3 linked regions of the Medicago truncatula genome follow. The protein of the gene in region 3 interacts with the protein of the main gene of each other region in a pairwise test. Links are inferred from orthologs where the notes say so. Each region holds a gene or a part of one and is shown on either strand. Other genes may lie near its edges.

Evidence for each region.
Region 1: the proteins of ninja-family protein mc410 (region 3) and protein TIFY 8 interact in binary tests that used the Arabidopsis thaliana proteins (3 or more experiments, as listed by UniProt). The link is inferred for Medicago truncatula from reciprocal best matches to the Arabidopsis thaliana genes NINJA and TIFY8.
Region 2: the proteins of ninja-family protein mc410 (region 3) and protein TIFY 6B interact in binary tests that used the Arabidopsis thaliana proteins (3 or more experiments, as listed by UniProt). The link is inferred for Medicago truncatula from reciprocal best matches to the Arabidopsis thaliana genes NINJA and JAZ3.

The regions. Positions count from the first base shown.
Region 1 is NC_053044.1:53,325,049-53,335,791, reverse strand, and holds the start of protein TIFY 8, read left to right. Parts: upstream 1-5,388; 5' UTR 5,389-5,646; coding exon 5,647-5,854; intron 5,855-6,430; coding exon 6,431-6,618; intron 6,619-6,735; coding exon 6,736-7,178; intron 7,179-7,291; coding exon 7,292-7,382; intron 7,383-9,528; coding exon 9,529-9,757; intron 9,758-10,343; coding exon 10,344-10,435; 3' UTR 10,436-10,743. Other genes in the region: histone acetyltransferase HAC12, read right to left, coding at 256-534, 907-1,706, 1,872-2,151, 2,288-2,360, 2,466-2,668. UniProt on the Arabidopsis thaliana protein: Repressor of jasmonate responses.
Region 2 is NC_053047.1:33,186,570-33,197,318, forward strand, and holds the start of protein TIFY 6B, read right to left. Parts: upstream 4,779-10,749; 5' UTR 4,599-4,778; coding exon 4,511-4,598; intron 1,848-4,510; exon of another isoform or gene 1,709-1,847; intron 1,610-1,708; coding exon 1,413-1,609; intron 621-1,412; coding exon 367-620; intron 1-366. UniProt on the Arabidopsis thaliana protein: Repressor of jasmonate responses. Jasmonoyl-isoleucine (JA-Ile) specifically promotes COI1-TIFY6B/JAZ3 interaction. Acts as a negative regulator of MYC2 function. Feed-back regulated by MYC2.
Region 3 is NC_053047.1:40,944,056-40,955,263, reverse strand, and holds ninja-family protein mc410, read right to left. Parts: upstream 4,512-11,208; 5' UTR 4,361-4,511; intron 4,184-4,360; 5' UTR 4,006-4,183; intron 3,140-4,005; exon of another isoform or gene 3,056-3,139; 5' UTR 2,798-3,055; coding exon 1,819-2,797; intron 1,518-1,818; coding exon 1,033-1,517; 3' UTR 802-1,032; downstream 1-801. Other genes in the region: probable lactoylglutathione lyase, chloroplastic, read left to right, coding at 6,844-6,949, 7,932-8,130, 8,233-8,357, 8,486-8,550, 9,043-9,255, 9,345-9,392, 10,269-10,376, 10,799-10,939. UniProt on the Arabidopsis thaliana protein: Acts as a transcriptional repressor. Negative regulator of jasmonate responses. Connects the JAZ proteins and the non-JAZ protein TIFY8 with the TOPLESS corepressors.

The sequences.
Region 1 (10,743 bases), on a different chromosome or scaffold from region 3:
TGTTTTTATTTACCCCCATAATAAGCCAAACAAAAACGGAAATTTCTTGAAAAAAAAAATAAAACTGGTTTTTGTTTGGCCTATTAGGGGGGTAAATCAAAACAAAAAAAAATTACAAGGGGGTAGATCAAAAAAATAATTTTACAAGGGGGAAACCGGAAATGACCTATATTATAGGGGGATAAAGACCTATTAACCCTATATAGTTCTCTGTATATAAAGCTGAATTATATAGCAATCGATATTGAAACTTACGGGTTCTTCAAAAACTTCATCGTTATTCTTTTTTTCGAGATTTGTCTTAGAAACAAATGCCCCATTGAATGTAATTTTCCCACCTTTAGAAGTTTTATAACACACGGAGCAAATGCAACCCTGTGCATCAAATTCTTCTTCTTTTCTACAAAAATAGGTTCTCCTGATGCGTACGCCACAACATGAACAAAAAATTGGCACTGGTGCAAAGTAAAGCTTTTTCCTTTGACATAATTGGCATGTGTTTGCATCAATTCCTGCTTCCTCCTTAGATGTAATCTGTGTTAAAAGAATTGTTAACTTCTATATGGCTTAAAAATTCAAAAGCAAAAAGAAATATGTATATATGTAAATTGCAGAATAGAAAATGTAATTTTAATAAAAATCACAAACTAAAAATAAATTTAATTTTTTTTTGCAGAAATTGACAAATGTATATAAAATCTGTCAGCTGAGCATGCACGCAAATACAGACATTCAATATTTCACGATAACATGCATACGTAACATCCAATGATTAAAAGAAGAACCATTCATGAGCTTTAACCAAATAGCTTTACCTTTTGGAATAGTTGGTTCATGACATAAATCATAACAGTCATACATAAACAGATCAAGGTAATTGAAAACACTGGCAGGTGGTGTACTAACCTGAACAGATTCCTTTCTCAGACTACTAATATGTTCTTCTATTTGATCACGTGTGAACAAATCAATCAAGGAAACAGCCTCAACTATTGTATTTGGGGATTTTGTTTGCTTCTCTTGATCATCTTTTGACTCAATGATTTCTTTTTTATCGTTTATCCCATCCTGGATGAATCCAGTTCTGCCTTGAATGTCCTCTTCACCCACATGAACAATAATAAGTTCTTTTTTAGCATTTACCCCCTCCTGGATGAATCCAGTTCTGCCTTGTATGTCCTCTTCATCGTCATCAATATCTTTAAGCTCCTTCCTGAGAGTAGGCCTACTGTTGATTTCCATTGAGTTTCTGCTGTATATCATGCCAGACTCTAAGCCTTTTGAGGGAATCATTCCAGACTCGATAGTCTCTAACTGTTGCTGCACTTCTGAAAGTGTTTCAAAAGAACAAGATTGAGCCATCTCGTAAGTCGATTGATCAGAACTTGCATCATTAACCCAAGAGACGTCAAAAGCAAACTCTGTCATTTTCTGTCTTTTCGTAGGTTGTAACATGGCATGAGTGAAACTGTTCTGAAAATCCAACTCCTGGGATTTATTTCGCCTTGTATCTTCCAGTTCTAAGCACGAACTCGTGCCAGGAGAAAGATTGGATTGTTCCGAAATATCCGCTGAAACAAGTTTAGGGAATGTCGAATGTAAATCTTCAAATTGAATGGACTTTCCCATTGAAGTAGGAAAACTCGTAGACTCGTTATTTTGGATAAACCCCAAACAATCTCTCTGTTTTGACAGATTCATCTCCACTGCAAAAGTAGCAAATTAAATGGGTAAAGCAATGCATTTGTTAAAAACAAAAATAATTCTAGCAAAGAAAGAAGCACAAAGTCAGTAATATGCAAAGATGAAATCAATATTGCACGAATAAGGATTAAAAATTGGGGAGAAATCACAATCTAATTTAAACATACCATTATTTGCGTGTTTCAGAGGAAAATAGTTGCTACTTGATCTGGTGTTAGCATCCAGATTGCTTCCACCATACAAAACGGGTAAGTTAGGAAGCACACACATATCAGCAAGTAGGGGGGTTGGCGAACCATCATCAGGAACGCAAGGCAGGCCATGAACAATAAAAGGGTCAGATAGTCTCCCTTCTGGAACGTCATAATAACCAGCGGCATCAGACTTGGAAAGACCCACTAGAGCTTGCATACGCTGATTCAACGTCTCTAGGTTCATATATTCCTCCTGCCAAATTCGTAGAAAAACAACTGTGCTTAATTGACAGAATACAGGTATAGTTTGCATTTTATACTATTATATGCAAATGTTGTTAGCAAAAAAAAGCACTTTATGTTCAGACACAACATTTCAAGAAACAAACCTTTGAAGCAGCAGTGGTAAGTAGCAATAATTCCAGCATAGGGGCAAATTGCTCATTCTGAATGATTTCAAAACTGAATAAAATTTATAGTTAGCATAGTCTCAATTCAATTGCAATCTTAAGTTGAAGCAAACTGAAGCAACCACGTTTCTATGAAAATTAAATCACTTTCACTTACATTCTTTTTCTTATCCAGTGACGGTTGTATGCCATTTCAGGATGATAACGCCAGTCTGTGGAGAATCCTGCTGGATTACTTACATGTTGACTGCATAATTTATCAAAACATCTCTTTTGCGGAGTGTTTGAGACAACTGATGAAGAATTTCTTGGCAATTCTCTCCAAATATTCCCACCAAGTTCAGAACCCTTCGCAAGCATCTTTTCAGCTTATCAGAAACAATTCACATTCTGAAGCCACAAAAAATAATACACAAATATCAGTTAGAGAAAATTCCAACAATGTTCTTGACGCACCATAAAGAGGGAAAACATGATTATCATAACTTTAAACAAGCTCACAGTTAAATTTGTCAAAATTTATCAAGAATTCGTTTATTAAGAACCCACATTTATTTGTTAATTCATTCAGGTTGAGAATGTGAATTAAATCGATTAATGAAAACGGAAATTAAGAACAAGATTGAAGTTATTATGATCAAATGATAACAATACCGACATTGAAAAACGATGAATTGATTAAGGAGTGCGCTAAAAAGAAAAGGCCCAATTACAATGAATGAAATTAGGGTTAGGGTTAGGGTTTAAGAATTGGGGATAACACTGTAGAACACAAAGATAACGTTAGAGAGAGAGAGAGAGAGAGAGAGAGAGAGAGAGAACAACCTGTATCGCTGAAGCTGTTGTTGTTGTGGTCCCTCCCTTGTGTCTCTTTCTTTATTCCTCTTCTTAACTTCTTACACGAAGGAGTATTTATATTCTTAGTTTAGGGTAATCTCTTGTTTAATTTAACATGAAAACAACAAGATAATTACGAGATTAATGTGATCCTCCTCATTTGTAATACTATGTCGGTTTCGAAATGAATGTCGTTTTAGGAAATGCAATAGTCTTGTCTATAGATTTGACATTTTTACTAAAATAGTCTTATTGACTATTGGTGCATTTCCCATCATTATAAATTAAAGTAAAATGTGGTACTTTGGAAATAGTGTGTGCGTAGTAATAATTAAGGGGTATTATTGAGAAAAAGTAATTAATAGTACATTGAAAACTAAAAGCGACATTCATTTTAAAACATCTTTTTAGCTAAAATTAGACTCAGTTTGAAATGGATGGATTATTAGTCTAAGATATGGTAGTGGTTTTTGTTTGTTGACAACTTTTAAAATAATGGTTGTTCTTAACTTTAACTTCTGAACAGTATTTATTTTTTGTTTTATTTAAGTTTTACATAATTTTTTTTTTTTGGAAATGTTAAAAGGAATTTAGGGCACTAGTTTTTTTTAGGGAATTTAGGACACTGGTTAAAAGGATAAAAACATAAATATTGCATTGAGAGATTGTGAAAAATGATGGATTTTATGTTTTAAAAGTTAAAATATCGTTGAATCAAATGTAAGTCTCCTACTTTTTGTTTATTTTACAAATGTCATAAGGATAGTTATTTACATAATCATTTTTTTTTATTATAAAAGATTGAGATAAATCTTCAGTATATAACATAGGGAAATGATGAAGGGTGTGATAGAGAGTATCTTAGACACACGATGTTTTGATCTATTAAAAAATAAGTATTTTTCATAATAGACATAACAATACTTACACAACATAAGATATAACAACACACGGTAAACTTTTAATATATCAAACAATTTTTTATTTTATATGATGTTTGATAAACAAAAGATTATTTTTGTCTTTTAAAACTTGTACTTAAAAAAAGTGTTATGGTGTAGTGATGAATACAAATTTCCGTTAGTCGGACCTCTAGTTTACTATATCTCTAGAACAATTTTAAAATTAAACACAATATAATTAAAGTTGTTTTAGCATCAAACGAGAAACTAAAGTGTTTAGCATGAAATAGTTAGCGAGTTCTCAATAGAAAGAATCGTTTGAAAAAACTTGAGTTTATTTTTTAGGTTTAATTGCGCTTTTGGCCCTCTATCTTTTCAAAAGTTACGATTTTAGCCCCCTAACTAATTAAAATACAAAACAGCCCCCTATGTATTGGATCTTTGGCAGTTTTGACCCCCAAAATATATGCCTCGCTTGGTGGACAAGGCCATATTTATCGATGCGGTGGTTGAAGAAAAATGTTGTAACTGTTTCTATTGAGTTATATGGGTGGTAGCAACGACCTTTAAATTGTTTGAGCGTTGATAAGATATTTTTACTTTACTTCCTCTTACCGGTGAATTGTTGCGTTTGAACTTTGTTGCTCTTCCTTAATCTTTTATCCTTTAATATAAATTGAGGAATGATATTTTGACAACCAATTTCCAACAACTTTTAGTGACAATTTTTTCCTCTCTTTTCATTGGACAATAACAATAGAGAGAGAAAAATGAAGAGAGAGAATAAAAGTACAATAAGAGTATGAGAGAGAGTTGTCACAAAAGTTGTTAAAAAATGGATGTTAAAATATCATTTCTCATATAAATTTCATCTTGCCTTGTTCAAAAAAAAAATGTCGTCCACACTTAAAAAAAAATCATTTTTTTAACACGTTGAAGCTTTGATGACTAAACTAGACAATATCTACGAAGGACTAGCACCCTATATCATTGTGTAATGTTCGGTATAGTTTAAATCAAGTAATCTTCTTCTCATACTCAAAGATTGTTGTTAATGATGCGTTTAATCAAGAGTTTTTGATTGCATTTATATTTTCTTCTCATATGAAGTTTTCTAAAAAAAAAAAAAAAAAAAAAAGCTAGTGTGATGATTCCAACTTCAATGAAATTTAAATGAAGGGTTAATGGGGTAAAACACCATTAACCCTTAAATGAAGTAGTCATTTACTATAGTGCAAAAAAAGTAGCACAGTACAAACTAAATTATTTTTTAAGCTGATATTTTACAAGGAGGGGTCTGAAAGTAAAAAAGTAAGAAGAAAAACTGACAAAAGGTCCCGAATTGAATTGATTACAGCTCAACTGAAACAAACGTTAGAGACACGAAGAGAGTGTGAGAATGATACAAGAGAAGTTTTGTACAAAAAAGACAAACATGCATCCATTAAAATCAACCAACAACAGAAAACTCCACAACTACATTTTCTAACAACACAAAGAAAGAACCTTTTGCTTTTTCACCGAAAACGATTGATTCATTCCTCTCTCTCTCTCTCTAGCGTACTTCACAGCTATGCAGCAGAGTGAGATGGGTAATCAATGGCGGTTCTGAGAATGGTTCACTCACACTCACAGTCTCAAAACAACAACAACAACAACATCAGTGGGACCCAACACTTCCTCCATGATTTTCTCGGCATGAAGCCAACTGATACTTCCATCGACGTTAGGTTACCGGAGGCATCAGCATCTGCCTCCTCCGCCGGTGCTCGTGGCCCTTTCTCCTCCACCTCCGAAACCGCTTCTGGTAAGTACTATTAAACAACTAAACTTTTCATTTTTAGCCACATTTCCCCCTTGTTTCATTTTTTTTACCGAGTTTATTCTCATCCACTAAACTTCTTTACTTTCCATTTTTTTCTCTTTTGGTGGGGTATCAATTTATTCCCTCATTTTTTTTTTGTGTCTTTGGATTTGGGTTGTTTCAAGTTAGTTGGAGTTGATTGTTTTCCCCTTCGTATGCAAATTTATGGTCATGATTTTCTGGACTTTATTTTGCTTTAGAGTATGGTGTATGATTTGATTATTTGTTTCCATGAAATAATTTAGACTCAGAGAATTGAATTTAATCATTTTATACTGAAAATACTATTATTTTGAACTGAAAACTTTGTTATGTCATGTGAATGTTTGTGCATTGGGAAGTACAATGATATGAATTTTTAGGTTTTATCAAAATTTTTGCTTTTGTGTTGGTCTGATTTTTCTTTTTTTGGTTTCTTATTCTGGAAAGAGTTATAATTGTAAACACACATTGTTTATAGTAAGTTTCTATGTTATCTTTAAAAGGAATGTAATGTTTTTTCCCTCATCAATTTGGTAGAAAAGCAGGTATCGAATCATCTTGAGGGAGTTCCATTCTATGGCCCAAGAAGTGATTTTTCTGGCACTGAGATAAGTAACAGACTAGTGGGGAATAAAAGAAGTAATTCTGATTCCTCATTTATGGGTTCCTCCAGAGATGCCTTTCAAATGGTCCCTGATTCCTTTCAAAACTCACATTTGATGAAGGTTACTTTAAAATATCACTTAATTCTTTTCCTCTAATATATTCAATAGCCAAAAAAAAAAAAACACTTTTGCTTTTATATTATTTTCTTTGATGTCTTAAGTCCTGTCTTCGTACAGGTCCTCCGAAATGCATCTGGGGGAGAGAGATCCAGAAGGCCTAATGATGACGAAGTGTTACTTGGTATGCAGTCAATGAAGCCATCTTCTAGTTCTCAGATATTTCATGCTCCCGCCAACACGAAGATCGATGCGAATAAATGGGAACGGTCTATTCTCATGAATGCTGGCCCTTCCATGCAGCATCCTCCGCGTGGAGGACAGTTGACTCCTTTTGCACACCAACTAGCTTCAAACAAGCTTAGGGATACCATTGTCGGCCCTTCATTTATCTCTCAGCCTGCCGCTGATGAAGGATCTAGAACTGGAATCAAAGGCCCTGGAATTTTAAGTTCCATAAACACAGCTTCTACTGCTACTGATAAAATCTCATCTGTAGTGCTGCTCGGTGGAAGCAGACCAAAACCTCTAACTAACATAATTGAATCATCCACGCCCCCAAGGTAAATTTATCTTATATATACAGTTGCTCAATTCACCTTGTTTCTATTTATTTTCACTCCCTTTACCTTGGAAAAAGAAGTTGATTGACTTTATGCATTTTGGCATTGAGCAGTAGTCAACATGGGCTAACAGCTGCCAGCCGCCAGATGACTATCTTTTATGGAGGTCAAGCTCATGTTTTTGATGATGTCCACAAACATAAGGTCTGACCTCGTATTCTTAACGTGTCATATCTGTTAACTGCATTTAGTGAAATAAGGCCTGAAATTAGTTTGGATTTGTGAATCATCATGGGTAACAAATTGTGCCTTAAAAAACTCGCTCTGCGGTTCATTCGTGGTTGATTTAAAGATCATTCAATCTACTTACAGTTAAATTTAAACTCATCAGGTTTCAGCTGAAATATGGTATTGATAGTCGGAGTTAATTTCCGTACAACACTTATGTTGCTGTTTCTACAGCCTATTTTGGTAGTCATTGCACAATATGGTGGATGTGCTGAACCTATAATATTTAGGGTTAATAGGTCTTTACCCCCTGTAATATAGGTCATTTCCGGTTTTCCCCCTGTAAAGTTTTTATTTTGATTCACCCCCTTGTAAAATATTTTTGTTTTGATTTACCCCCCTAATAGGCCAAACAAAAACGAAAATTTCTTGAAAAAAAAAATAAAATTTGTTTTTGTTTAGCCTATTAGGGGGTAAATCAAAACAAAAATATTTTACAGGGGGGTGAATCAAAATAAAACTTTTACAGGGGTGAAAACCAGAAATGACCTATATTACAGGGGGGGTAAAGACCTATTAACCCTAATATTTAATAGAAAAAGATTTCATAGCAACCAATCATACATTTGCTTAAGCTTTGGGTACACCGGTGGAGTCACTTTTGAAAACAGTCTTTTTCTCTTACTGGTTTAGTTAGACATTACTAGTATATAAAGTCAGCTTAGGGAGTGTTCTTTATAAGGAATGTATTTGGATGATAGTTTCTATGGATTTAGTTAAGACATTACTAGTATATAAAGTCAGCTTAGGGAGTGTTCTTCATCTTATTCTTTCTAGGATTTTTTTCTTGATCTTTTCAATATGTTTCCCCGCTGAAATTTGGAAGTTTTCAAAATTCTCTAAAAAAATGTTTGGCTTTCCAAACACATTGCTGATGCTAAGTTAAAGTTAAATTCACTTGTGTATGTGTGTTAGTAAGTAGCATTCTTTCATATACATTTTATTTCACTAGCGTTTTGCATCGAACACGAATCCATCAAGAAATTTAAGGCTGACTTAAAAATTAACAGAGTTGGCATTTGCAGTGAAGATTGTGTTAGACATGCACTCAGAGTGGACCAGTTGATTAGCTGTCTGTTCGTATAAAATTTCACTGAATGCAAACCTATGTTGTATTGAAGGAGCAATAAAGCCCCTTCCGTTGAGAGTGCATAGGAATGTGACAAATAGTAATCTGCATTCCTGAAATCTTAACCAAGCAGGGTCTTGACTCAAGCATTGCATTTAAGCTACATTTGGAAGAGCTCATTTGAGCTTATCTTATCACCTAGTCATTTGTATAAGTATTTGGAATTAACTTATAAAAATAGTATGCTATACCTATAAGTTGTTTTCAGCTTATTTTCGTAATCGTCATGATAGCTTATAGATGTGAAGCCTGGCCCAAGACCCCTCTTTGATTCTCATTCAGCCCAAACTCTAGTCTTATAGTAGTGAAAACAAGTATTAAAACCCAATAGATTTTTTAACATGTATGCCCAAAACAGTAGGGTGCAGGGAATATTCTGATTTCTAAGTGGGGTAAAAAAAACTGTAGTGGCCATCAATCACTTCAACTGTGAAATATCCATTTCAATAAAACGAGAAAGAAATCTGCTTGAAGTCCTTCGAAATGCGAGTGTGTTGCTTGATATTGTTTATTGGTTCCGAAAGTGTTGATCATCAGTTGTTTCCAGTGTTACTGTTAGACTTGATGTATAAATATTGGACAATCAGAAACATCACTGTTTTAATTTTTAATCCAAATCCAGTGAGGATCAGTTAAATTGTTATATCCTAAATTCTGACTTGAGTTGGCTACATGGATCAATCCATGCCTTTGGGCTTTATCAAAAACCAATTTTTCATTAAAATCATTTAGGGCAAACTCATTTTATAGGTTCATCTATTTATTTTCTTTGATCTTTCTTTGTCTAGTTCTTGTAATGGAATTTTTTCGAAGAGACACATAGTTTGTCTTGGGCTTGAAATCTTCACTAGTCATAACAGAAGGTCTTTTATCTTTCGTTCTGTTAAGTCATTCAGCTTATCATGACAATTGCACGCTCTTTGGCGTATGCAGGCAGATGTTATAATGGCTTTGGCTGGGTCAAATGGTGGATCTTGGTCGACAGCGTTCTCACCGAAATCTACTGCAAAGCTGGTCAATGATAGTAACTTGCATAGTGGAGAAAATGAAACAGGGTTAGTGAGTAATGTGGCATTCCCAGAAGAGCTTCATGGGAAGTTGTCTGCTGCTGGCAGTTCTAGCCGCGCCGTTGGACCTGTTGACCGTGTATCTACTCCAACCGGTAATCCTCAAGCATACTACATAGTTTGATTTGGATACTTTATAGTTTATACTGTATTACCATACCTCTTCAAATTGGCAGTGATTGAAAGAATACAATATCTTTTACCCCAAAAATATCGCATGCAGTATCCCACACAGTTTGACGCAGTAAACGATCTCAGCCGTTAATATGAGATCGGACAACTCAAATTACACAATACCGAAATTAGCTTTGAACAATCAGTTGAGATTGAAAACTGCGCACAGTTTCTCTACCAATTCCACCGATCCTTTTTGTGTCATCCTTTTCTTTACCTTACATGCCTTTCTTTCTAAATGCATTAGAATATTGGTCACACTATTTCCTTTAGATCCTTTTTGTGTCATCCTTTTCTTTACCTTACATGCCTTTCTTTCTAAATGCATTAGAATATTGGTCACACTATTTCCTTTAGAGTTTAGACCTTTGCCCGAATCAACTCGAATATTTTCTTGATTTTGATTGCGACATGATCCATATGAAAATTCTTGTCTTCAAGTTGAAGTTTAATTTCTTTTGAACTGTTTAATTTTTTATTGATTGATTGCTAAATATCCGATTGTAGGGGCACATCAAGGAAGTATTTTTGCTAAAGATACCAGAAATTCGACGGTTCAAGCAGCAGATCCCAGTTCCGAAGACAAAAGAGCGCAGTGACTAGAGTTTGAAGCTGAAATGTTCATACTCAATGGGAGTCCCAAGAGCTTTCTCTTATTTCCGATTATTTATTGGGTATCATCCTCTTTTGTCAAATTTTCTCATGATCTTTCAAGTCCTTAAAAAAAAAAAGATTATGTGGGAAACAAGAGTAGGATGATTGTGTAAGGAGGTCTAACAGATACATCAGCTATATTTATGAAGTGTTACCGTAAAAAACATCTTATATTGCAGTTTCTAGACCAGTCACCGTATCAGGTTAAGCAGCTTCTTGATATGAAAAGAATAACAAGTTTACAAGTATTGGT
Region 2 (10,749 bases), about 7.8 Mb from region 3:
AAAAGAAAACAAAAAAATTCTTAGTGTTCCACTCTACATTGCTCCACAATATCATATCATAAAAAAAAAATCTTGATAGTACACTTTTAAACTATCAAACACGGATACAGACAAGGATATCAGACACAAAACGAACACCAATACGCCGACACCGCTAATAATTTGAGAAAGTTACGTAATTCAGTATAATTAAGTGTCCGACACCGGGACACGCCTAATATGAGGAGTGTTCATGCTTTATAGCTTTTAAACAAAATATGTTGTCTGAAAGTACACTTTCGAAAAACATGTGTTTTAAATTGGTCGCAAAAATATTTTCAATGAAATAAAAAAATTATTTATTTCAAATGTTTAAATTTATGATACCTTAAGTCAGTAGAGCCAACTATGGGACCTTTTGATGGAAGAACAGATAAAGGTGTGGCAGAGGATTTTGAACCAAAAGTTTGAGAGTTTGTAACTGAATTAACCATGTTGATTCCAGTTATAACATGATTAGATTGGTTTGAAACTGAAATTGTTCTTGCTTCTTGATTGCAAACTGATTGTGCATCAGAACTTTGTATAGGATAAATTGTAATTCCATGCTTGTTTCCTACTTGCTTTATGGCCAAATTTTCCTGCAAAATATCAAAAGAAGTTAAAAAAATTAGCTAAAGAAGAAATTATAGATACACACTTTCAATGTGTATTAGGTTATGCGGCGGTGAAAATTGATTTTGATTAAAAATGAATTGAATGTAAAGTTGTTTATAATTAGATGCATTCACGTAAAAGTTATTTTTACGAATTTATATGTTGTTTGAATATTTTAAATCAATTATTTTTTTGAGTGTGTAATTACCAAAAAAAGTTTTAGCATATATATATAAATTGAAAAAAGCTAGAAGTAATTCAACTTCAAAGTAAAATAAAAAAGTATATGGTTGGTTCCACTCTTGGAGGAATAAAACTTAATTACAAAGATATAAAATTGATTTTGACCTATTTAATGTTCTCGAGTAGAATTCATTTTAACTTGAATCTATAATTTCTACATTTTGTCTCTACAGTTGATTATTAGACTCGAATATATCATTTAATCCACTTTTACATAAATCTATCGAAACATAAATCATTTTACATTCAACTCACTTTTAATTAAAATCAATTTTTATCACCATCAAATCAAACACAAACCAAATAGTTGTTTCACCTAATAATTAATCTGAAACCAAAATTGTTTCTCAATACAGACACCAAGTCTGTATTGAGAAACTCAAGTCTCACCTTAAAACCTAACGAGCACTCAATGTTCTTCAACAAGGTTAAATTATTTTGATATATGAAACTACCCCTTCATTTTTAAACAAAGGATTCTAAAGTTAAAAAAAAATAAAAAATAAAAATCTTTATTAAGAGAAAAAACCAACCTGTGTCACACCCAAGAATGATTTCTGATTAGAATCAAAAGCATCTTTAGTTGAAATAGTCATATATCCAGATGAAGCTACTGGATCCATAACATTGTTTCTTGACCTATCTTCATGAGTGTTATTCTTGAATGACATGAATTGAGGAAGGTTTGAAACCTTATTTGAAAATGACCACTGCATTCCTGAACTCCTAACTGCATCAAATTTAAGAACATAATTTATGTTAACACCTAAATCAACATTTAAAAAAAAAAAAATATTTGAAATAACAAGTTTGGATCGATTTAAAATACCTTTTTAAACAAAGAAAAAGCACAATGATGATTATATTGACAATGATCTAAGTTACTAAGAAATTTTTGTTCATCAAGCTTTCTAAGATCACAAAGTGTTGTAAACTATACTTCAATATATATAGACACATATGAATATGATATATGTCACACAAACCTATATTTCATCTAACCCATCAAAATAAATAAATAGAAAAACTTTAGCAACAGCTATGAAATAATAAAAAAATTAATCTACCATAAAAATATTTAGAAGATGCTCTTGTAGAACTTTCATCACAAGAATCCAGAGTCCATGTTTTTTAAAAGATTATATTACATATTATATATAATCATATCACATGTGACCTTGTTACTTTGTTATTAGTTTATTTTCATTGTTATCTAGGTAATAACTGGCCAGGTACGGCATATAAATTTAAAATACAATAACAAAAGTAGCAAGAAAAAAAAATTGTAATTCCTTATGAAGCATAGTATTATTTAATCATAGTCCATCATCATATAATATAATTATATAATGTACTAAATGGTACTATTCTTAGTAGCTTGCAATAATTTATGATATGACTTTGTTTTTATTAAATGTTTCCTTTGTATATGAATATTTTATGTGCACCTCTTTGCAACCAGCTTGTCACTAACATAAAAAAAATGTTATTTATTTCTCAAGGCTATGCATGCATCATCAATGCCCATGTTAGACCTTAGATTTAATATTAAACATGGTGATTTGTTTTTTTTGTTTGTTTATATACATTGATAAAGGCACATATTTTTATTCTTTTTAGACTCTCATTCATACATCAGGATCCACGATATTTTATATTAAAAAACATACGATAGTGGTATGTATTTCTTTAAGCATTTAAATATTTATAATTTTGCATCAAAATCAAGAAAATGAAGGACCACGTTATGCAATAAAATATATAAAGAATAAAGAGCACCACCAAACAACCAAGAGCACGTTTTCTAACATAAGTTTTGTAACCAACCATCTAACCAAAAAAATATAGCATTTACAATTTATAATTTATTATTATAAGCAAGAAATGTGTCTCACACTCACATTGACACGTACACCACATTGATCAACACTAACACATAGAAATTAATAATAATTTTATAAAAAAATGGTTTCCTTCTAAAAAAAAACTAAATGAATTTTGTAAAAAAACAAATTTAAATGAAATGTTTTATTTTTAAGAGGCAAAAATGAAACTTATATCAACAACAAAGACTTTGTTCCTTCCGCACAAGAAGTGCTAGAAGAGAACGATCATAATTATACAAGAGTTTAGTCAAAAGACTCAGAGACAAAAAAATCAAACACATGTAGCCTACACCCAAACAAAGCAAAGGACTAGCAAACCAACTATGAATCCCGAACACATAAACAATGTTAGCTGCCTTCATCCACCAATATGAATGACTTTGAATTTGAACCTTTTCGACCAATTGATACATAGAATTAAATGAAATGTTGATGCTATATTTGCTTCTAAATTATTTAAAATAAAATTATACTCTTAATTTTTCTATAAATAATCAGTCTTAAGATTTTACATGAGCTTAACTTTATATTCATTTATTTTATGATCAAATTTAAATAAATAAAATGTAATATTTATGTTTGAGCTAAAGATAGATTAAAAAAAAAAGAAAAAATGACATAAACCTAATCAATGAAAAAGAAATAAAATAATAAATATTTATAATAAAACAGTTTTTATCAATAGGGTAAAGTTATAAAAAGTGTAAAATAAAAATATCAAGTGACCCACATCTATTTTATTTTGACCCTATATCACAACACACTTTTTTTCTTTTTGATGCAATGGGTGGTAATGTATGTAATTCAAACTTATATGCACATGGACTATATATCAACTAGCTCAATAATTGTGGCTTCCCTCTTACAACACAGTTGCAAGTTGCTATTCCCTACCACACATCACACATCAACTTTGAACAATAAATACCACACATCAAACATCAACTTTGAACCATAAGTATCACATGGCCCTAGCCATGTGCTAATATAAGATTTTCCTTGCAAACATAAGTAGCTGTATGATATATACTTTACCTTATTAATTCAATTATGTAGCATAGGAGGCTGCAAATTGCAGCTAAAATGTCTTTTAACTAGACTAGATAACCTTAAACAAGTTCACCCTATGAAACCTTAAAATTTTTGAACTTAATCTTATCCATTAAAGGAAAAAAAAGCAAAAGAACATAAGGCTACAAATTCATTCTTCTCTTCCTTGTTCTTCATTATTATATTATTATCAGGGAAATATGTTAACAAATATTTTAAAACATTGTTTAAACAATTAAAAGTAGTAATTTTAATATAAAAATTTGTGTAATTATTATTTTTACATGTGTTCAACTTATATTTTTAAGATAAAAAATTTTATAATAAAATTGTTAAACAATAATACCCTTAGGACACTTGATAGCATAACCCTTATTATTATCTACAAGTTTAAGCTAAATTTTCTTCATTTTTTCATCTTTGAAACAACAAACAAAAATTCATTCAAAACATAAAACTTAAATCCCCATGCATGATTAAATAATAAATAAAAATATAAAACTTAAATCCCAAATATATATATATATATATATATATATATATATATATATATATATATATAAAAGACAAAAAAAAAAAACAGCTGTTTTAGTTAATTTAATGAAAATGCAAAATTTTCAAGTTTCACATCGCCATAATAATAGGTGTTAGTGCAAAATATTTCATGGAAAATAGAAAAAGATGAAAATTGATACCTTGGTCTTTTGGTTTGTTGGAAGCATCTTCTTTCATGGTAGTCCATGGACTATTTTTGGAACTGAAGCCAAGGAATTCTCTTTCCATTTGTGGTGAAAAAATCAGATAACAACAAATTTATTTTTCTTCAAAGTTGCAGAAAGAATAAAACTTTGACAAGTGCAAAGACCAGGCAGAGAAAAGTGAAGTGTTTGGTTGTGGTGAATGGAGAGAAAACAGAAAGCAAGAGAGTAGAAAAAAGTAGTAACAGAGAGAGAACACAACAGAAATATATATATATATATATATATATATATATATAATAATGAACATAAAAGAATAAAATATGCAAATTGTTTCCTTAAAAAAAAGGTGCAAATTGTTGGATGTATATCAATCTAGTCTATCAAATTATTATATAATAAATTGACAATTTTTTTCTTTAAAAACATGCTTTTAAGTGAATAATAATATGACACCATTAAGTTGGTAATTTTTGTAAGATTTAAAATTAAGTGAATAATAATATGATGCATTTTCCTTCAAAAATTTATAATATGATGGATTTGATAACAAACGCAGGGCTTCTGTATGTTAGTTTAATTAAGTAAATGATTTGTATAAATATTTAGAATTTACTTTTAATCCATACAAATTAAAACCATTTTTTTTTTGTCCATGTAACATTTTTCTTTGGCATTTTGAAGTACTAAAATTATTGAAGAAAATTTTAGAAAGACGAAAAAAATGTTGGTGGAAATTTTACGAAGACTAAAAGTCTTGACAATAATTCTACATGGACTAAAAAATATTAAATTTTATTCTGTAGTGATTAAATTTGAAGTTTTGAATATTTATAAAAATCATTTAGTAATTAACTCAAACAAAAGTTATAGTAGAGTTATTTCTGTAAAGAGGAAACTAAATATTAGGTTGGAAACAATGAAAAGACTCATTGGAAACGTGAAATACATGTGAACCGTTGGATGAAAAGATAATCGATTATGCAGGATGGTTGTTACTGTTGATAGACATAACAGAAAGTGAGTAGACATCTTCAACTTGGTTATTTTTCTGATTGCATGTGTTTTTTATGGTAAAACCAAACATCAAGTATCGTACTTAAATTACAATCTTAAGTAGCTTTTTTAATTTTATTTTTAAACGGCAAAATTTTATAAATAAACATCCTTACACAAGATAAATAGAGACAGACAAGATAAAAATACAACAAACAAAGAGTGTTGCATATAGACTGAACAATCAAAAGAAAACTTGTACATCTCAGACATAAAAACCACCAATAGAGATATTATCCAACCGAGGGATACCACCAAAACTCAATACAAAAACTAACCATCAACACCAAAATCAAAGTCTAACCTCGACACACCAACAAAAACAAAAACTTCATCCAAATTTTCTACTCGCACCAAAACTCCTCCAAAAAAAAAACCCTGACCAAAACCCTATAACCACACCTCATATGAGCCCAAGCAACCGACACACAGCCTGCCAGAGAAAACACCAAGCAAACAAAAAAAACTTAAGTCTAGAAACAGAATCCTGATCTCAAAGCAAAAGTGATCGCTCCACAAGACTCCATAAAAGAAATCACTAAATGCATCCCTTGAAACTCCAGTACACTGGAATACACCATAATATCCCAAAAACTTGAAACTAGATACTAATTCCTGATCTCCAAGCAAAAGCGATCGGCCCATAAGAATCATGAAGACAAATCCCTCAGACAATCGACAGGTGGAAGCGGTGGCGCAAACATAATTAGCTCGAAAAAGAGTCCAACTCAAAGTCAATCCAAATATAAACACTCAAAATAAAAAAAAATAAAAAAAAACCCAACAATGGGAAAAGAGCTAGTGGCGGGGATGGACCCAGTTTGAAGGTCACTACAAGCAGACAATGGAAGACAAACAAAAGAAACCCCCCCCCCCCCAAAAAAAAAAAAAAAAAAAAACCAACCCACAAACTCGTCATCACCATCACCACAACTAAAACTTACAACCACACACAAAATCAACATTAACATTCTCACTCCCAAACCAACAACATCAATCTCCACGTCTTGCTCAGCTCCCTAATTCCTCGAACAAGAGAAAAAGAAGATAGGTTTGGCGAGCCTAATCTAACGAACTAGACATTGGTACTTTAACATATTTACACTTGTGAAACTCACCAGCCACCGAAAATTTGGATCTCGATTCAAATCTACCATCACAAACTATAACGAACCACCATAAGCACCGCCACAAACCACGACGAGATCCATCATAAAAACCAACACCACCATGAACTACAAACCACCATGAACCAACTGCCATGATAAACTAGAAGCCACAAACACGCATGTGGTGTGGGTTTAGAACCACGTCTGTGGGTTACAAGCCCATCTGGGTAACAGTGGTACCTCCATGAAGAAGCGCAAGTATCATATGCTGCCGAAGCTACATACAATCTTAGGTAGTAAAATTACCAAGTCGTTACTATCTTGACTATCAAGATGTTACCAAATATAAAAGATACATGCAAAATTTAAAATGTATTTTCATATTCTAATACATCCTTGTAATTGAAATTGGAAGTTGCCGAATGTTGAGACTAGGTAAAAAGTCATCAAAGAGTTGCCGTGGAAAGTGCTCAATGAAGATGTCGACTATTTCATATCATGAAGGAACATATAACACACAAACTTGGCCACAAGTAATTTTTTTGAAGAATGAATATCAATCTCAATGTGCTTAGTGTGTTTATGTTGAACGATATTACCATAGAGATACACGACAATTATGTTATCACGACATACTAATATAACCTTTGAGACATGACAATGTAATTCCAAAATAATATTCCTAAGTCAACATTACTCAGATACTACTTTCATGACTCCTCAATATTCAGCTTCAACATAGGATCAAGACAATATAGGTTGTTGTTTGGTAGACAAGAGATGAGGTTGTCCCCAAGATATACAGAAAGACCTTATGGTGTCTAGACATTCATCCCAATCTGCATCAGTATATGTGATGAGCTTATAAATGGAGGAAGGATATAGATGGAGACCAAAATCAAGAGTACCCTAAATATATCGAAGGCAAACATATGTTTTGTTTTTATATCATGCATAAACAAACACATTTGTAGCGTGACATAAGAGATACATAGTCTTGTAATGGTCAAGTATTGTAGGGCTCCAACAAGTCTACTATACTCACTTGGATCATGATATGGGTTGCAAAAAGAGACACTATGTTCCACTTGTGTGTCCACTAGTGTAGCAGATGGTTTGCAAGAAGCCATACCCGCACGCTCAATATTTTCCTCGACATATTTCTTTTGTGACATAAAAATACTTCTTGTATGTTTGATAACAGAAATACCGAGAAAGTAACTAAGAGGACTCAAATCCTTCATAGAAAATTCAGAGCAATTTACATGTCATGGATTATTGAAGGAAATATGAGGACGCGGCTAGAATGATATCATCCATATAGAGAAGGATATAAGCTATATCATTACCTCAGTGGCAAATGAATAAGGAATGATTGGAGATGTTGTTAGAGAAACCCAAGTTAGCAACGTAGTGGGTAAGTCACTAATATCGAGCACAAGGTGTTTGTTTAAGTCCAAAGAGTGACTTATTTAGCAAGAATGCATAATCATGATGTTAAGGATTGTGAAAACCTGGTGGTTGATACATGTAGACAGTTTTATCAAGATTACCTTGTAAAAATGTGTTCTCGACATCTAATTAGTGAAAACACTATGATTAGTGATATAATAACATTGAGAACCATCCGAAAAGTGGATGCTTAGACTACGGGGTTGAAGGTTTCCCTATAATCAATACCATTTTTTTAACTGACCCCACTACCTACAAGATGGGATTTGCACCTCTTAAAGGATCTATCATATATATATATATATATATATATATATATGTCTGACAGTCCACAAACTTTGAATAATATTAGCATTAGATGGGCATGGCATTAAGTCCCACGTCTTATTTTCAATAAGAGCGTCATATTCTTCTTTCATGGCCATTTTTAAATTATGATCATGTAATGCATAAATGGGATTGATGGGCAAAGAAAAATTAGATTTTGGAGATGAGGTATAAAGATTAAAAAGTTAGAGGCTTAAAATTTTCATGTTGTGCTCTGGTGGTCATTTGAGGTGAGTGAGGTGGGTATGCGTTGAAATTATTTAGTTAGAAGCTTGTGGTGAGGTCAGTTATGGGGAAGGGCTGAGAGTCTGTGTTTGCGATTGCATTTGTTCAGAGGTAGGACTCATAGTAATGGTATTTACGAATGGAGTATTTGTGGTCGATGGAGGAGCATTTACAGTAGGGGTGTGTTGGTTTGTTCTAGCAGTGCTTTGATGAGGATAAGTTTTATGGGAGTTAAGAAAGGATGTGCGCTTGTATCCAAAAAATCATAGTTAGATGTTGAAGGAGCGCTGAAGGTAGAAAACAGAAATGTATTTTCGTCAAAATTTACATGCCTAGAAATGATTGTTTTACGACTCGACAATTTGTAACATCTATATCCTTTATGGTTGGACGGATAACCCAAAAAAAAATGAAAATACTTAGTGTTGGCCAAATGAATAAACAAGAGTATGAGTTTCAGTAAAGGATTTTGGCGAGGCAGGATCAAATTTAGCCATAAGGAAGGAGGAAGGCAATTTTGCCAGCGGCTAGGGTTAGTAGAAAATGTGTGTTTGTGTATGTGTGTGTGGGGTGTGTGTGTGTGTGTGTGAGAGAGAGAGAGAGAGAGAGAGAGAGAGAGAGAGAGAGAGAGAGAGAGAGAGAGAGAGAGAGAGAGAGAGAGAGAGAGAGAGAGAGAGAGAGAGAGAGAGAGAGAGAGAGAGAGAGAGAGAGAGAGAGAGAGAGAGAGAGAGAGAGAGAGAGAGAGAGAGAGAGAGAGAGAGAGAGAGAGAGAGAGAGAGAGAGAGAGAGAGAGAGAGAGAGAGAGAGAGAGAGAGAGAGAGAGAGAGAGAGAGAGAGAGAGAGAGAGAGAGAGAGAGAGAGAGAGAGAGAGAGAGAGAGAGAGAGAGAGAGAGATGGCGACTAGGGTAAATGGCTAGGGATAGAACATGCATATTTCATTGCTTGAACATGCATATATACAACAAAAGTCTAAACTACCAAGTTTTTACTGTTTTGATTACTAAGTCGTTACTAATTTAACTATCAAAAAGTTACCAAATATAAAAGATATTACATGTTATAATAAAAACTACATTAACTCAGAACTAACTTTAACATTTATTAGCTAACAATAACTAATTCCTCTCTTAACCTTTTTTTTTTTTTTTGTTACAATTCCTCTCTTAACTAATTGCAATAATTGTGGTATAAAATAATCATAAAAGATACGTATACATCATACATTTTTTCCCTAAAAAAATTCTCTTTTCTTTCTATTGTTCATATGCAGTTTTGCTCCATTTAGGGGCTTAGGCTACGGTAGGAGACCTCAATGGATCTTCTACCGTAGGTGACTACATTTTTTTTTTGGTTTCTAAAATGCTTTTTAGCCATTGGATTTGGAAAGAAGTTTTCAATGGCATAGATCTTTAGACATGTTAACCCACTAGTAATGTATATTACTCTCTTCGTCTCATATTAAATGATCTAGTTGATTTCGACACACGTACCAATGCATATGTTTTATCTTTGATATCTTCAATTCTCTGTTAAAAAAAATTATGAAAACTTAATATTTTAAAAATATTCATCGAGACGATTCCAACAATATCTTATATGATATTATTTATCTTTGTGAATTAGTAGAAAAATATGGTCAAAGTATATTAAGTCAATAATGTATATTGTCAACTATGTCATTTATTGAGGGACGGAGGGAGTATAATGTTTAATTTTTGTCTTTAATAAAGTAATGAGTAAATAGTCAATTCCCCCCCCCCCCCCCCCCCCCCCCGCCCCTCCCCCCAAATTGTAAGTTTCATCAATTACCCCACTGAAATTAACAAAACTTCAATTACCCCTCTGAAATTTCACAATGTTAGTCAATTTACCTCATCCGTCAAATTTTTCTGTTAGTGAACATGACGTTTTGCAAATATCCCCCTGAAGTTTTGCACGTATGTGCAAAATGCCCCCCCCTCCAAACTTAAAAATTTATATTTTTTTTTCTTAAAAACAAACAATTAATAGTTAAATATTAATTTTGTAGTTTGGAAAAACCACATACATATATACATCAAATTATTT
Region 3 (11,208 bases):
AATGATTCCATTTTCAATTCATTTGAATCTACAAAATCTTATAAAATCATATCATTTAAGATTTTTAAAGAGTGTCTCGTTAAGATTTCTCGTATTCTAAAACTCACAACATTCACAAACCATGCACACCAATCACTTGTGTTAATCCTTGGTGAGATATTTAACCTTGCAAAATAAAAGTAAAAATAATTATTTTGGGAGTTTCTTTTCCCGACCTGTGTTCAAAAAAATTACATGTGTTGGCGGTATAAAATCAAAAAACTACATTTTTTTTCTCAAAAATATACTTTCGAAGTGAGAGTAAAAAATTATCTTCAATTGGTATTTTTTTTTTTTGAAGGAATTGGTAAGTTGACTCATCTCTGCAAGGGTGTAGGTTCAACTCTCATTGTCAGCGTGAGAATCTCTTATATAGATGATGATACCATTCTTTGAATCTAGAAGTTTGTCATAACCCTTTTTAATCTATCGTATTATATTTTCTAGGTATAGCTAGTAAGGCTCTAAAAACCAATCCATTTCAAATATTTTCAAGCCATTTTTTTCTCTTTTCTAAATCCTCTAATGTCAAGGGAAAAGTTAAAATTTAAATTGAGTAAAAAGAGTTTAATTAGTATACTCTCTCATTGTACAATTATTTTACACATACATCCAATTATGTTTTGTCGTGTCAATGAATGAATATGACGACTCATGGGTCAAAAAATTGACGTGGCAAGGCATCATCGGATGATGTGTAAAATAACTGTATACCATCAAAGTATAATAATTCATAAAAAAAAAAAAACTTACACGACAAAATTACATGCTTAATTACTATTTAATATAATAGATGATGCTATAAAGCTCAGCCATTATTAAATACAACTACAATTTTGATTGCAGCTGCTGCAAGTAAATAAAGTGAAATAGACAAATAGAAAAAAAATGGTAATAAACTCATTCATCTCCACAAAAATTATGGAAATTCCAGATTCTCTTGTTGAGAACTACAATATATAGAGTACAACCTGGAGGGTAGATGATAGTAATCTAACTGTGAGAAGAGGAACCAAGATTACCATTTGGTAAGCTTCCCAAAACCGAATTGCTATCTGAATTGGCTTGTTCGTCATTTGCATGACGAACAAAATCCTCAGGAGTCATGTGAGAACCATGACATGCACAAACGATTCTGATTTGGTTAGTGTTGTACCTGTAAGTAACACCTGATATTGTCCTTCCATTTGAGCTTGTGGTGGATACCCAAGGCAGATTTGGGTAGGAACCACTTCCTCCGAATTTCACATCCGCGGTAAGCCCTGGCTTAATATTTGAAAAATCAATGGTGGAACCTTCACCTTTCGGCTGTTCTGGTGCATCTTTGCCCCTGAGGTTTGTGCTGCTTCCTTTCACGTCTTCAGGCTGTGAAGAGGAGCCTTCTTCAGTGACACGCTGTTTTCCATCACCTTTGGTTCGTTCTAGCGGCCTGCCTTCATATGGCATGGCCTCGGATATATTGTTTAGGTGTAACGCAGCTGCATCGACACAATAATGACATAATGTAATTTCCAATAAAAACTCGGTAAGTATCAAGCTACAACAATAGAGCTTGCGCATGAAAAAGAAAAACAAATGTCTATAACAATCGTTAACTTTTCATATATAAATCAGATCCAACCCAATTCAATATGCAAGTCTTCCAACCAATTTTAGAATATTTGGTTCAGTTTACAAAACATTTTAACCAACAATTTATCAATTTGACTTAGATCTTTGAAGTTCTGAGTCAGGTATATTTGATTAATTAGAAATAATGTCCATTCAAATCACAATTACCTGAGTTAGCTGGACCTCTCCCAGCAAAGGAAGGATGAAACTGTTGGGGACGTCCCCATGAGCTATCCTTATCCAACATGGGAAGCTGAACATATGGATGTCCAAACATCATCGGCAAGCTTCCATTACTCACAGATTGAGCTCCTGCACGTTCACCGGTTGTAGTTGGCATCATATGCATCACTCCAGGTATTTGAGGGTTTGGTGCCCCAACAGAGTTTGACTCTTTTGCCGAAGTGTAAGGTCCACTCATCATATTCACTTGTTGAGCAGAAAAGGGAGCACCATAAGTCATGTTTGCATGCTTGAAATCTTTTTCTGTGGATCCGGTAAATCTCTTCTGCCCATTGGCGCTTGAGTCAGCGACTCCACGAACCTCTTTCGAAGCATCAGAAGAAGCACCGACCCTAATGAATCCTTTAGAACCATCACTATGGTTGGAGAGAGGCCTGGAGGTAGAGTTCTCAGCTTCAGAATCAGCCACGTCTTCATTTTCTGCAGTTGAACCATCTTCTGTTAAAGAAATGTGAGATGCTCTTGCCCTGTCATGTAAATCACCATGATGAATGTCGCTGTCATGCCTCTTTAGATTCCGTATGTCATCAAAAGACATCCTTCGCTTATTTACTGCCTCTGACCGTTTATTTTCCTCAATTTCAATTGGTTTATTATTGTTGTTTCCAACCAGAAATCCTCTTCCATTTAAATTCAAAGAAGCATTATCGTCATTGACCTTTGAAAGGTCACTAAAGAAATTCTCCTCGGGCTTTGAGGAATCAGCCCTTCGGCTCCCACCGCTTGATTCAGGCTTCTGAGGATCGGTATTAAACATGCTCTTAAAATCATCAACCATCTTGCCACCTCTACCGTTTTCTTCTCCCCTAGTATCGGAGGAGCTTCCATTCTTACTCTTTGCTTTGGCTGATGAACCACCAAAAGATAAACCCAAACTGAGCTCAAGCCCGCTATCGTCCTCCATATTGCAATATCTCTAAACCTATAAAATCCAAAACAGATCAAATAGCTAAATCATCATATCTTCCTCACTAAACCCATGCATCAACTTTTAACCGTCCTCAAATATCTGCATTAAGTTTGATTTTAAACAAGGCAAACCATTATTAGTTGCATGTTACACACTCAAATAACTAAAATATTAACAGTTTTGTAAACTAGCAGCTATAGCCAAACTGAGCTAAAGCCCGCTATCGTCCTCCATATTGCAATATCTCCAAACCTATCAAAATTCAAAACAGATCAAATAGCTAAATCATCATATCTTCCATACTATACTCGCATCAATTTAACCATCCTCAAATATCTGCATTCAGTTTGATTTTAAACAAGGTAAGCCATGTCAGTTGCATGTCACACACTCAAATAACTAAAATATTAACACACGGTTTTAATTTATTATATACAATGAAAAATGATTTACATTGGTAATCAACTGGAATAGTTGAGACATTACAAACGTTTGACTTAAATCGTATTTAGAGATCGTTTGTGACAACTGAATCACTTTTATAAATTTTCATTCGTTTGTTACAGAATTTCTATTTAGAGATCGTTTGTGACAACTGAATCACTTTTATAAATTTTCATTCGTTTGTTACAGAATTTCAAAAAAATGAGAATCCGAAGGAAAAAAAATCTAAAAACTTCCTCAAATGAGAAGCTGTTTTTAGTAGCTTATCAGAAAATCATTTTTTTATAACTGATTTATTTTTAAAAAAAAAATAAACTGTGATTTTCATTCTAGTAAACAAATACAATACAGCTTCTGCTTTTTCTATAAAACTCTAAATATTAATCTCTAAATTATTGAGTATCAAAATCACTTTTTTTTATAATCCGTAACAAACAAACCCTTACTCTTGAAGTCACACATGAATAGTTGTGATCCGTTGACGAAGTAAAACATTTTACATTGACCACGTATCAAAATTCAACATTTATCACAATCATAGTTTTCATATACTCAAACACAAAATTAACAGTAAACAACTCATTGCTATTTCTATACTCAATGACAGATCAGATTCCATTAACAATCCACAAAATCAAAACACAAAACTATCTACTTTTCAAATAAAAACAACAAACAAGTAACCAAATTCAACTAAAAAAACATCCAAATTTAGAAGCATCAAAAGCGAGTATATATGAATCAGATAAAAACCTCACCTCAATCCTGATCTAAATCCTCCCTATCTCACCAACTCTTTTTCAACTGATTTCAACTATTTGTTGCTTCCAACTCCAATCAGAAGCAGCTCAAAACCCTAGAATACACCAAATCTATAGCTATATGATCAACCACTTCTGTTCATCAAAATCAAACCTTTATAGTATCAATTCGTTCCTTGAATGGTAAGAAAAAATGGTTCAGGATCCGATCGGAGTATAAAAGCTTAATTTGAGAGATAGATAATTGGGGAAAATATTAAGAAAAAATTGTGAAAAACTGAAATTAGGGTTTATATGCAAATTATTGGAGAGTGCAGAAGAGAAAGAGGGTAAAAGGGGAAATTGAAAATACCTGATTTGGGAGAGGATTGATCAAACCCTAATTGAGGTTTTCATTATGCAGAGATCAGTGGAAATTGATAGTGGAAGCAAAAATATAGGGAAAATTTTGGTTATAAGGATAATATATTTTTTTGGTAAAAAAATATTTTAAAATTATAAAAATAAAATTGTCAATGTTTATTTGCCAATGTGATTCTCATGGTTTAGTGAAGCTGCTATGAATATGACCGTACCATGTCATAAAAAAAAATTACTTTTTAAATTTAAAATTTTATTAAAAAAGAAAAAACAAAGTAACCATTGGAGTTTAATATAGTAAAAGAAGTTATAGTCTAACCAACCAGGTCGAAATCCTAATCGAGAGGGAATTGGGTCGATATCGAAAAATATTTAGTTGGTCGCATGAATTTAGACACATTATTTAGGGTGTGTTTGGTTTGAGAGAGAAGTTGTGAAAAGAGAAATAGGTGAGAAAGAAGTTGTGAAGAGAGAAATAGATGATAAATATAGTGGATTTGATGTGTTGTTTGATATAAGAGAAAGAGAAGAGAGAAAGAAAAGAAAGAAGTATGTTTAATTTTTGAAATGACAAAACTATCCTCTTACATAAAAAAAAAAAACAATGCACAATTTTATGTTATAAATTTCAATGAAAATAAATTTTTAATGTTGTTTACAAAAACTAGTTGCTATAAACAAATTATTTACTAAGTTCGTCATAGTCATTGTACATGTATCCATAAAAAAATAAAAAATAAAAATAAAAAAACTCATTGTGTACCCTATTGAAGAACTACCTAGCACATGGACAATATGTATCAAATTAAAAGGGTAATAATGGAAAAATGGGAAAAAATGTTTGTCTCTCTGCATTTCTTCTCATGACTGTGAAGAAAAGAAAAGGTGGCAAGGGCCCACAAAATTAATCTCTCTCTTTAAACTCTCTGCTCCACCAAACAAGAGAAGTTGGACACTTCTCTTCTATCTCTCTCTTCCCATCTTCTCTCTCTTGTAACTCTCTTCAAACAAACACACCATTAGAGTTGAACATTTTTGTTTTTTGTCATGCATTTGAGAAAATGCAAAAAGTGATAAAATTAAATATTAAAATAATTATATGATATATATTTTTCTTTTAAAAAAAGGTATTTTGTTACATGTATAAATAATGTATTCAAATGATTGTGATCTAATAAGACTTCGTTGGTTATATTTAGTGTCTCGAATAGAATTCAATCCAATAGAGGAAAACTTAGGAGAGAACGTTATGTATTGTTCTTTTTCTTAAAGAATTGATCAGATATAAGATTGACTTAGTGGTTAAAGTGAAAGTGTTAAGAAGTTAAACAATATAAGTAGATCAATAATTTGATCCTCACTCACATTATAATATTAACAAATACAATTTTTTTTATGGAGATTTAGATATTTACTTTTCAGCCGCTTCAACCAAATGTTAATGTTAAGGAGACGATTTATATTGATAGGAAAAAGTCTCTTGATGGCGGTACAACGCCTAATAGTGATGGGGTCTCCAGAGGACTTGGTGATACTTTAGGGTGTGGTGTTGTTCACAATTCTAACTGGAGATGGATAGGAGGTTACATAAAGAAGATTGGAGCTTATGATGTCCTTTATGTTGAGATGTATATCTATCACCACTTGGATCTTGTGTGGAAGGAACCGTTTCTCATCTCATATAGGAAAGTGACTTCAAAATTCTAACTAAAATGATTATAAATGACTACATGTTTAATGGGAGGATTCTCACTTTGGTTTGGCACATTCACAATCTTTTATTTTGGATCGACATAGCCAACATCACCACACTTTGGAGAGAGGAAAACTACTGTGTTGATTGGCCGACCAACCTTAACTTTTCTTTAAATTCTTTAAATTATACTATTATGTGGACTCCTCCTAATGAACTTCTTGGATAATGTTTTCAGAATTTACATGTTTAAAAATGTTTGTTTAATTTCATAGTTTTACTTTAAACTTCATCTCTCTTTTGTACTTAAAAAATAAATAATTTAGGTTTTAAAATTTTAAATAATTTATTATTAGATCCTTGCATCAATTATTTTTTAAGGAGGTCCTTGCATCAATTATAAATTCATAAAGAAATCAATTATAAATTATTTGAAAGGTGATGAACTCGAATAAAAATTATAAGTTCATAATTAAATATGTTAAAATAATAAAAGAAATTTTTGCTACAAAATTAACTTTCCTCTGTCATTTATCTTCTCTCTCCTCTAAAAATAATTTTTTTAAAAAACATATTTCCCAAAAAACACTTAATTAAACGAATCATTTGTTTACTACTATTAGTTAAATCATTTATTCCTTTTTTCACACTAATAAAAACGAATTAAACCCTATAATATTGCAAATTCAGTTTCATATTTCTATATTCATCATCTTCCACATTTTTCCTTCAAAATTCATCTTCCACATTCATCATCACATCACTCTGTACAGTCCTTTTCCATGGCTTCTTCTTCAATTCGTCCATCACTCTCTTCACTCAACAAATTACCCTCTTTCTCTTCACGCAACCTCTCTCAGAGATTCTCTCTTTTTCATCTTCGTAATGGTAAGTTTATTCGTTGACCCTTTGGCAAATACTCCTCAAAGTTTTTGTCTTTTTCAATCATTCTTTCGTAAATTTTAATTTTTATGGAAAATTTAAAAATGGGTTTTTGTTTTTTTGATTTATTTTTGCATGGGGAAGTTATGTTAGTTTGCGATTAGATTGCATTTGCTGTTGTATTGATAATTTGACATAATGGAATGTGTTTTTGACAAAGATTTTGTATTAGTGTTGTTGTTGCATGTTGAGGATGTGTATCTAGGTGGGATTGACACTTCATATTAGAGACATGTCTGGTGTCCTGCATATGTAGATGCTAATGATAATGAAACACTCAAACAGACCCGGACACTAGACATAACACTGACACGTTGATATCAGTAATAGTTTGAGAAAATTGAATAATTGAATGTATCACATGTCTATCTACCCAAGACGTACACTTCATATTGAAGAGTCCGATGTCCAACACATGTCACATGTTTGTGTTGGTGCTTCATTGACACCAACACAGACACAACACTAACACGTTCACACCTGTAATAATTTGGGAAAATTGATTGCATTTGGCATTATATTGACAATTTGACATATGGCATGTGTTTTTGGGAGTGATTGATATTATTTCTGTTGCATATTGAAAGTGTGTACCTAATGTAGCATCTTCATAGGGACGCTTTATTGCCTAATCTCTGGGCGTTATGGGGAACAATGTTGGTTTTGTGGCTCATTACTGTTCTTTACGCTTTTTGAGGGTTTTGGTCTAGTCACCTCTCATGCGTTTATTTTTTCCTTTTTTTAATAATATATATTGAGCAGGCAGTAGAGGATGGGAGTTTCAGTTTCATGCCAACCTAGTTGGGATGTTTATGTCTCTCCCTGATGCCTAACCTATCTCAATGCTTATAAAAAAAATAAAATTTAGTAATTCATAGGTATGTATTATAGGTTAATGAACTGTGATTGCTTTTGGGTTGTAATTCAGGTGTTAGACTACTGCCCCAAAATTTTGGTCTTAAAGCATCTAGGTTGTTGAGACATGATAGTGGAAGTATGAGAGTGATGGCATCAAGGAGCATGTCTCAATCTGTTACACAGGAAAATGCATTAGATTGGGTGAAGTGGGACAAGAGAAGAATGCTTCATGTCGTATATCGTGTTGGTGACTTCGACAAGAGCATAAAGTATGTTATATTTGATACGAATTAGTAATTTAGTTGCAAACTTATTTATTTGTTACTGTGAACATTCTCATGGTAAAAACAAAAACTTGTTGGTGATTTCAGATTTTATACAGAGTGCCTTGGAATGAAGGTGCTCAGAAAACGTGACATGACAGAGGAGAAATATACTAATGCCTTTCTTGGATACGGCCCTGAGGATGCACACTTTGCGATTGAACTAACATACAGTGAGAATCGACTAACTTGTTGACTTTCCTCATAATTACAGAACTTTGCATTCTTTGTAGTTACTTTAACATCCCCGAGCAATGGAAATTCTTATGTTAAAACTGTTTTTCTCTTGATGATGTTTCAGATTATGGGATTGAGACCTATGACATTGGAACCGGATTTGGCCATTATGGTATTGCTATGGATGATGTTAGTTTCTCAAGCTTTTATGACTACTTGTCTATCTTCTATGCCTACTACTCTCATCATTGTATAGAAAAAACTCCCCTCTAAAATTATGTTATTTCCCGTTGACGTGTATTTTTGCGTTTGAACTACGCCCTGTTTGGATAAACAGCTTAATTAAGTGCTTATCATAATAGTGTCTCTGTTTATGTATAAGCTATTTCTATAACAAAAGATAAAGTAAAATCAAACTGTTTCAATATAAGTTATAAGCTGTTTCCGCAAGCTATCATGTAGAACTTATGGAAATAAGTCGAAAAACAACTTATGCACATGTCATAAATTGTTTTCATAAGCTCCCTCAAACAGTCTCACGAGTGTGTATGCTAGTAGATAAGAAACCCTTCTCCCAAACATAGTTGTAGTTTTGGACTTGGTTATTTCTTTGAATTTCCTCTATTGATCTTTTGACCAATGCATCAATGAAATTTCTTTGTCCTTGTAACCATTTACTAGATTTCAAGAGTCGTGGACATTGTGAGAGCTAAGGGTGGCATAATAACTAGAGAGCCTGGTCCGGTCAAGGGAGGCGACTCAACTGTTGCAGTTATTGAAGACCCTGATGGTTATAAATTTGAACTTTTGGAAAGGGCTCCCTCTCCCGAACCCCTGTGCAAAGTAATGCTTCGGGTTGGTGATCTTGATCGATCCATAAAATTTTACGAGAAGGTGAGAACCAATGCACTTTATGTTGGATTATAGTCTTCTCATTTCCTATACAAAACATTAATTTGTTTATGCGATTGCTTGTTGTATAGGTTGTTGGTATGGAGTTGCTTCGTAAACAAGATGATCCAGAATCCAAGGTACCTGGGCATCATTTTTGTGTTATATATCCTGGCTCTGATGCCTTTTTTGTAACTCATATACCTTGAATTCAGCAATTAAGATGATTAGGATTTATTGTTTATATCTAATCATGGGAGGGACTCTTGATGCCTAAACTTTCTTATAAAATTTAATCTGAATGGATAAATTAAGCTTAGGGTAATCAAACCCCCTCTCCCCCAACGCCTTTAACAAATTAACCACCAACATTTTCCTATAAAAAAAATTGTCTCATGTTTTAACTTACTTTTTTTTTTTAAAACTCGGTATCCGGTCCATCAACTGACTAATCCGAGGGGACCAATCCCACCGCCCACTTGTGGAGGGCCCATTTAAAGCCAAAGCAAAGATTTGTATGGACTAGCCCACCGAAATTGACACCAGAGGGAATCTGAACCTGAGACCTTGAGAGGAGCAAACTCCAAGATCCCAAGCCAACCACCAGGCCAACCCCAAATGGGTTATGTTTTAACTTACTTACCGCTGAATGTTCTTGTATTTCATAAGGCATTGATCCTCACCTTCTCAATTACCAAAACATTATGTTTCAACTGTTTCGTATGGATCGGTAGCGAAAGTGTTGTTTTATGATGAAGATTAAACTATCTATGTCAACCTCTGATGAGCATGTAGCCCAGTCACACTTCTTTCAATTTATTCTCATTTTTGTTCAGATCTTCAACTGTGTTGTGCTGATAGATTCTTTTGATTTTGAATTATATATATTGAGAACTTCCATCTTTACAATTCTTAGTTTCAACCTTGCTTTCTTTGTTGGCTGAAAATTGATTTAGGCATTTGATCTCCATCACATAACCTGCAATCTTGTAATTGCTTCCCTTCTTTTTTGGCAGTGTACTGTTGCAATAATGGGTTATGGTCCAGAAGAAAAAACTACTGTTCTGGAATTGACTTACAACTATGGAATCACAAAATATGATAAAGGAGATGCATATGCTCAGGTTGACAAAAGTTCTCCTTTTTTATTTGTCTACTTTGAATATGCTGAAGTGGTTTCTTTGATCCTGTCTAAAGTTATGATATTAAGATTATGATTTTGTTTTCTGTATTAAAGAGCTGGCTGAGTTTCATATGAGTATTTGGTTGAAATGCTTCTTAACTTGTGTTTTTAGTTAACATCATTTCTTTTATTTAGGGTCTGTTTAGATTGACTTATTTGAGGTTATCAACCGGTAAAAACACTTCTGAGACTTTTTGGTAGAGCTTATGAAAACAACTTATGACATGTCTATAGGTTATTTTCAGCTTATTTCCATAAGTTTTTCAGGATAACTTGTGAAAACAGATTGACTTGATTTGATTTTTTGTTATAGAATAATTGCTCAATTAACATGTTTATCTTGTTTGTTCTTCCTTCTCACAGATTGCAATAGGCACAGATGATGTGTACAAAACTGCAGAAGCAATTAAACTTGCTGGAGGAAAGATTACTCGTGAAGCTGGACCAGTACCTGGTTACAGAACAAAAATCACATCATGTGTGGATCCCGATGGTTGGAAAACGGTACGCCTCGATAGTCATTTTCAAGATTACTTCCAATATGTTGTTTGAGAGTGAGCATTGGCGCAAAGGTGAGGTTGCTGCCTTGTAACTTGGAGGTCGCAGATTCAAATCCTGGAAACAACCTGCTGGGAGCCTCGTGCTCTGGGCCACCCATTTTATTTCTAATATGATGACATGTTTTAAAAATCAAATATCGAACCAGCCCTACGTCTTGGTCAAGGTTCAACCGCCGACCTCTGAGTCAAGGTTCAACCACCATAAACAGCTCA